2 linked regions of the Alligator mississippiensis genome follow. The protein of the gene in region 2 interacts with the protein of the main gene of each other region in a pairwise test. Links are inferred from orthologs where the notes say so. Each region holds a gene or a part of one and is shown on either strand. Other genes may lie near its edges.

Region 1 (3,747 bases), on a different chromosome or scaffold from region 2:
TGGATTCCAAAAAGAGCTGTGAACCTATTTAAAGTTTTTAGATTTATCTATTAATCGCCTCCACAGATGGCTATCTGGATGAAACAAAACAAATAGATTCTATGTAAATTTGAGCCCTGCTGGTAGTCATTAGCTTACATTTTTACATCTATCCTTCAAAATGTCATAAAAAGCAACTCATTTGCTTTATTTATGCAGTAACCTTGAAAATCCAAGTATTCCCTCCACCTCCACATTTCTGACAGTTGCTATTTTTGCTACAGGCATTTTAATAATGTGGCTCACAATTATTACCACCTCTGTATGTTAAAAATAATGTTAAATAATGATTTTCATTATAGCTTTAGTGACACTACCTATGGACAGAATGAATTCTAGAGATTTATAGACTCTATATTAGTTTGTAGAAATTGATCCTACTTGAGCATTATTAGTTATATGAATCCTGGAGGGTAACGGGTTACATTTTACCACCACTTTTCTACATTCTACGAGTATTCTTAATTCAGGAGTTTGACATAGCAAACTAACCTAGTCAACTCCAAAGTAAATTTGGAAAACACAAGTCCTAATCTGTCCAGCCTGCAGGCCTGTATAGTCTTCATTTAGTTTATTAGTACATTACACCCTTGCTAGAAGGCTCCTAGTTGTATTCATCAGTTCCACTAATTTAACAAATAAGAGGTTTATTTGTCTTGATCTGTAATACAGCTACAATCACAAAAGAAATCTGCAAGTTTATATCTGTGCTAAGTCACTTATATGTTTAACAGTTGGACAACTGCTTCACTACAGTCCTCACCCCCGCCCCACTACTTTCAAGGCATATCCTCCACTTCTTTACTGATGTTACGTGTGGAGGTGTGGAGTTACCCGTGCCACGCACCTGCACTAGGCGCCGCTGCATCCCCTACTGCCTCGAGCATAGGTGCCACCTTTTTTTGTGGCTGGTGGTGCTTGCAGGCATAAAAACAACAACAAAAATGGCTCTTTACTTTTACCCAGGACCATTCCCGTGCCAAGCCCTATGCATATCCAGAAGAGGCAGTGTGTTACTGCTACCCGGTCTGTAAAGACTGAATCACCTCTAGCTAAAAACACCAAAAAGCCCCACTGAAGCACTCCATCTTTACAGACGCTGTAGAGCCAGGTTAAAGCCGTGTGCTGCTTCTTCCCATAAAGCACCGGGAGTTTTGTTTGTTGGGGTTTTTTAACATCTGCAGGCAGCTCTGGAGATGCTGAGCACTGGCTAATTTTTTTCAGTGGATGCTTGAGCCCCAGAGCACCCATGGAGCCGGCCGGCGCCCGTGGTCTCGAGGATCGACCCTGCTGCCTCCTACCATTCACAGACCATGGATCTTCGTCTCGCTCCGCTGCTGCTGGAGAAATGAATCCTGCCAAGGCTGCAGCCAGGTCTGCAACTCCGCAGGTGCCACACACATCTCCCCACCACCAACACCCTCCGCCAGCCGGCTCTGCAACGGGCGGCCAGTTATCCTCTGTGCTGCGACCGCCCGGCTGCCCGGATTAGTGCAAACTTTCCCGCAGCCCTGCGGCACCCGGAGCTTTTCCTCCTTTCAGCTCCAGGGAAGGCGCTCGGCTGTCCCCCCCGGGGCCCTCCCGCGCCTCCGACACCTGGCGACAGGCCCAGACCTTTGTGCTCCGCAAGCCGAGCCCCGCCCGCTTCACAGCCCTGCTCCACCTGTCCCGCGGCCTCCGCTTCGCCGCGCGGCCTCCCCCCGGCACCCCCAAAACGCCACGTGCCCGCGCCCTGCTTACGTCACGCCCACGTCACACATGGGGCCCAGCACAATGACGTCTTGGAGGAGCCGGAACCGAAGGGGCTCGCGGCGCAGCCCGCTCCTCCCTGGGCCGGCAGCAATGGGCAGCCTCCCCTCCCCCTCCCGGGCGCACGTGCCGGGGGCGGTGCCAAGAGGGGAGGACGGTTGGACGCCCCGCCCCCCGTGGCGTGCCCCGCCCCGCGCGCACTCACCCGCGCAGCAGACTAGGCGAGGCGAGTCTCAGCCCAGAGCCCGCGGGTGCCGCCGGCCCGGCCCGGCCCCGCCCCCCCGCGCTCCCATTGGCCGCGCGGTTGCTAGGAGGCCGGCAACAAGGGCCCGGGGGCCGACACGCACCTGCCGCAGGCGGGGAGGGGCTGCCTCGGGGACCAGACGTGGCCGGGCCGGGCCCGCGCTGCGCCTCCCTTTTCCTCGCCCGGTCCCGGAGGCAGGCGAGAGCCCGCGCCTCCCTGCTCCAGTGCCTGTTGGCGGCGCGGCCGCCCTGCCCCCTCGGCCTTGGCGAACACTTCCCCAACAGGGCCCGGTCTCCAGTTCAGCAGCCTGTTGCCTTCGTGGCAAAGTGCGTTCAATTCGACACAGGCAGACGAGGCAGGAGCTTAGTTGTGATCTGTATTGACTTACCTAGCGGCATCTCCTTGCGCCCCTGCTCCTGACCGCGACTCCTCAGCTCCTTCCAGGGTAAGGGGCTGTTCTCGGCCTTCCCGAGGGAAATCCTGCTCCAGCTGGATGGGCAGGGGAGAGCACAACCAGGTAGGGTAGCTCCCAGGTGGGCCGGACCCGCAGGGTCTGAGGCCTGCCCGAGACTGGAGGCCCGCCCTGTGTGTGAGGAGGAGCCATGCAGGCCACCGGCAGGGAAAGCAGGAGCGAAGCCGTCCACCTGGTGGGTGGGATTGCTCTTACCGCTGGGGAAGCCTTGGAAGCAAAGATGCGAGAGGAACGGGATACAGAAGCTTTAAAAGATGAGAACTGAGTCGGTGATGTGATTTTATTCACAATGCCCTTTTTTGTAAATGTGACATTCATGGTTTTTCTCTGAACTTGTCAAGCACCGATTCTTTCCCTGTGTTTTTAATATGAGAGGCAACATTCAATGTTGCTTTTGTTTGTGGACCAGCACTTCCACAGCAGCATAGATGGCAGAAAGCTGAAGCTAACGGGGCTTAGTTTCCCCCAAATTAATTGTGTAGCAGCTGGAGACGGCAGCAGCACCACTAGGGTGTCACCACAGCACCACATACGGCACCAGCAACACGCTGGCCCCGCAACAGCCCTGTGGGAGAGAGGGGTGGGGTGCAGGTGGGCACCCTTTTACTCAGCCCCCCAAATATTTTCTCCCACAGGGCTGTTATGGGGCCAGCGTGTTGCTGGTGCTGTGGTGGCACCCTGGTGCTGCTGCTGCCGTCTTTGATATCCCTAAAGACAAGAATTCTTATGACTGCGATTCACTGAATGTACTTTGGATTGACTTAGCTCAAGAACGTGCTCAAAAATCAGTCGGTAGATGGCATAATTGTAGCTAAAGTAACATCCGCCTTACAAAACTAACGTAAAAACCCTCCTAAACACAACAGTTACCAGTTACCATCAGGATAGAAAGCTAAGGATCCTTTCTTGATTTAAAAACAACAAAAAGATTCCTCCAGGCAAGGGGACAAGAACATTTTTACAAGGCTAGTAAACTCAGTCCTTTTGGAGAAAGCACAACCTTACTGTTTTGTAGATACTGTAGAAATATTTGCTATTGTTTTGGTTTTGTATATTTTTGGCCACCATAGCAGTAGATATTTCTTTAAAAAAGAATATATACACACATTTTTAAAGGAATTTAAACCAGGAAGATCATTCTTCACAGTATGCAAGATATTTATTATTTTATGGCTTAAAGAGTAATAGCAAAGACTTTGGACTTTATACTGCAGATTCTGTTTGTTTCAGACCTGTTTCGGAG
Region 2 (3,747 bases):
TAATATATCTTGGTATACACCTCCTTGCATTTCTTTTGACCTTGTATATATAAATAAATCCATATAGGAAGATCCTGGTCTTTTCTCTTGAATTGGACATAAACTAAATCCACTCTTCAGACACTTGCATGTAGAAAGCTCATTAAGAGATTTGTGAGGGCACAAGTGATGCAGTACTACCATCTGTTTTCTAAATTAGGAAGACAGCATGCTGTGTGTATATGTGTACTACTACATTATTTGTCACTCAGATTTTAGAAATGCTCTTTTCAAAGTCTGTATTTATTCTAAATGTAAAAGTTATTCACCAACTCATAGCAATGCCCATAACTTAGCCAAGATTAACTAAATTCATGCTAACCTGTACTTTCGTAGGTGAATTTGGGGCCACCCCTTGATTCAGTCTCTCGGGAGTTTCTGGGATAGGGCTCCTCTGAATGGGGCTACTAATGATGCGTTTTGCCTAGGGAATTTAGACACTGTGAACAAGATCTCCTTGCCACTTGCTGCAGCTATAGAAACATTGAGGGCACTTGTTTTAAGCACGGTGACAAACTGGGTGGACACCACCAACTATATAAATACCTTTCTTGACCAGCACATTGTATTATGAGGATTTCTTAAAACAAAATGAAATTAATAAAATTATATTTTATATATTACCCCTTCTGCCCGCCCCCCAATGAATGCTCTTCCGAAAAATAGGTGTTGGGCTCCAGGATCATTTAGCTGAGCTTCCAACGTATTCCGTATCTCTGCAGCAACAATTTGTCCTACTTCCCAGAAATCTCTCAGTTTTTTCCAAGTCTTCTTTGCTTTTCACCACCACACATTTCACACTTCCCTTTCTCTCGTACTCATGATTTCCCTGATTATCAGGAAAGTTATCTAGCTTTGCTGCTGCTTAATGACAGTTGTAACATTCATCTCTGACCTCTCCTCTATTTCTCTATTCCCCTCCCTCCCTCCCTTCCTACCTTTCATTTTTAAGTATTCAGATAATTTTCTCTGTTTTATACACTGCTTTGCACATCTTTTCACAGGATCTGATGAAATGAACTTGGGCTCAGGAAAGGTTATGCTACATATACATGTATATACATGTGTGTATATGGGTATATATTTATCTGCACGTATATTTGTGCATGTGTGCGCATATATATGTGTGTATATGTGCGTGTGCACGTTACCTAGAGAGGTGGTGGAATCTCCATCCTTGGAGGTTTCTAAGGCCTGGCTTGACAAAGCCCTGCCTGGAGTGATCTAGTTGGGGCTGGTCCTATTTGAGCAGGGGTTGGACTAGCTGACCTCCTGAGGTCCCTTCCAACCCTAATTTTCTATGATTCTATGTTCAGCTTAAGGAAAAGGCGCTTGAGGGGGAACATGATAGCAGTTTTCAAATTCTTGAAAAGCTGCCATAAAAAAGAGGGAGAACACTTTTTATCTGTAGCTGCAGAGAGAAGGATGTGGACCAGTGGCTTGAAGTTGTAGGAAAGATGGTTTAGATTCGATATCAGGAAAAACTTCTTATCATTACAATAGTGAGGCAGTAGAATAGACGGCCTAGGGAAGCTGTGGACTCTCCATCACTGGAGGGGTTCAAGAAGATGCTGGACAGCCCTGGTTGGAGATGATGTAGGCACAGCCTATGTACTATGGGTATTTCCCATGCTTCTGGGCTTTGCTGCTTGCAGCAAGGGAATGGGAAGGAATTATGGCCTCCCCACCCCCTGTTTCTGCTGCATGCCAGGGCTTTATTTTTTAAGTTTTCCTTAAAAGCATTGGGTGTTGGCTGCAGCCATAGGTGGGGATTGCAACTGGGTCTGCCAGTGTTCCCGCTGAGACTTAAACCCAGACATTCCTAGCTAGTGGGTGTTGCCCCTCTGCGCAGGATCAAACTAATTGCTGTATTTGGGACCAGGAAGAAATTGTATCCCGTGCACAGATCGGTACAGGCTGGGGGGGTGGGGGGGGGGGGGGTTGTCTTCCTCTGAAGTGGGGACAAGGCCATAAGCAGGATGTTAGCTACTGTTAAGGCTAAGATTATGGATAGTGTAGGACGGTTTGGTTAGGGATGATCCTGTGTCAGGGTAGGGGGGGTGGGACTAGGTGACCTCTGGAGGCGTTTCCTGGCCTGACTTCTCTTTTTTTTTGGGGGGGGTGTACATGCCTGCACACACACACACACACACACACACACACGTGTACACATGCACAAGACATGTGCAGACGTGTATACATAAATACACACACATACATGTATATATGTGTGCCCATATGTACTGCAACAGCAATGATTTGGCTTGTGAGCTGCAAGTCTAGGCTGCCCCCGCCCCCAACCTTTCCTTAACCGTGCCGGTCGCCGCCCCCCGGGTTGGCAGGCCCGGTCCCTACCCCCGCCCCGGCACGTGGCCGGTTAAAGCGGCCCCCGCGGGGGCGGGGCGGTACCTGCTCCTCGGCGGCGACCGGGCCCTGCTGCCGCTCGTAGAGCGCGGCCGGCGCGCGGGTGCGCGCGTTGACGGGCGTGTGCAGGCAGGAAGCGACCAGCAGCGCGGCTCGGTGCGCCGCGTCCATGGCGCCGCGGTTGCCTGGGACGCTACGGCGGCGCCGCCGGGACAAACCCCCGGGGCGGGGCGGGCTTCCTCCTGCCCCCCGGGGCCCGCCTGCGTGGGGGCGGGGCACTCGGCGTCACGTGACCCTCCCCATTGAGCAGAGCGGTGGCGCCAGTGTGGGCTGCAGAGCGGGCTCGGGCAGGTCACTCCGCGGTTGGGGGCTTTTCTCCAGCTGAAAAGAACTGAGAAGTGCGGCGGGGCCGATCTTAGAGTTTGCGATTGTTTCGTTCCTAAGCCGTTGCTTCAATCAGGCTTTAACTCCTGAGGGGTGTTCTGTAAAACAAATTGGGCTGCCCATCACGCGGCCCTAGTGCAATCGGAGACCCCCGCCCCCAAGTTATGTTTTTCAAATCTTACAGGGGGGGCTCTTGTCTCCTGGGGGGGCCTCAGCCTCCTCAGATTCCCCATAAGCTCCCCAGCTTCCCCTTCGGTGACTTCCAGGGCAGCTGAGGGGAAAACCAAGAGTAATGGTCACAAACACAAACTTCAGGCTCAACACTAGAAAACATTTCTTCACAGTCAGTGTCTCCACACTGGAATAAGCTCCCTCCAGAGGTGGTGCGATTGCCCACCCTGGAAATATTCAAGAGACTGGAGGGCACCTTGCTGGGGTCACCTGACCCCAGATGTCTTCCCGGCTTGATGCAGGGGGCTGGACCCAGTGATCTTCAGAGGTCCCTTCCAGCCCCTTACAATCTATGACTTGAGCCCTGACTTCAATCCTCAGCTGTTACTCAGGTGAAGATTGAAGCTGAAAGAAATGCAGCAGGTTGCAGAAAAGACACTTCCAGAAAGGAGGGGAGAGCAGTCTTCCAATGCTTTTGAAGGGCTGCCTAAAGCAGGAGGACTTGAAACTGAAGCCAAATGAGTTTAGACGGGATATCTGGAAAGATTTCTCCAGCGTTTGAGCAGAGAGGCAGGGGGATAGACTGCCCAGGGGAGCTGTGGGCTCTTGGTCCCTGGAGGTGTTCAACACCCTGGTTGGGGATGATGTAGGCATAGCTATGCCTATTTTCTACCATGGGTATGCAGTTTTTTGGGGTTTTTCTGTCTCATCCCCCTGTCTTTCTGCTCAGTGCTGGATTTAGGCTTAAACTACTTAAGCCACAGCTTAGGGCCTCACAATATGAGGGGC

What was found.
Region 1: the proteins of FAM161A (region 2) and SSX2IP interact in binary tests that used the Homo sapiens proteins (3 or more experiments, as listed by UniProt). The two-hybrid records come from large-scale screens. The link is inferred for Alligator mississippiensis from reciprocal best matches to the Homo sapiens genes FAM161A and SSX2IP.

The regions. Positions count from the first base shown.
Region 1 is NC_081828.1:28,256,186-28,259,932, forward strand, and holds the start of SSX2IP (afadin- and alpha-actinin-binding protein), read right to left. Parts: upstream 2,572-3,747; 5' UTR 2,421-2,571; intron 1,914-2,420; exon of another isoform or gene 1,780-1,913; intron 1,596-1,779; exon of another isoform or gene 1-1,595. UniProt on the Homo sapiens protein: Belongs to an adhesion system, which plays a role in the organization of homotypic, interneuronal and heterotypic cell-cell adherens junctions (AJs).
Region 2 is NC_081824.1:212,487,394-212,491,140, forward strand, and holds the start of FAM161A (protein FAM161A), read right to left. Parts: upstream 2,620-3,747; 5' UTR 2,575-2,619; coding exon 2,449-2,574; intron 1-2,448. UniProt on the Homo sapiens protein: Involved in ciliogenesis.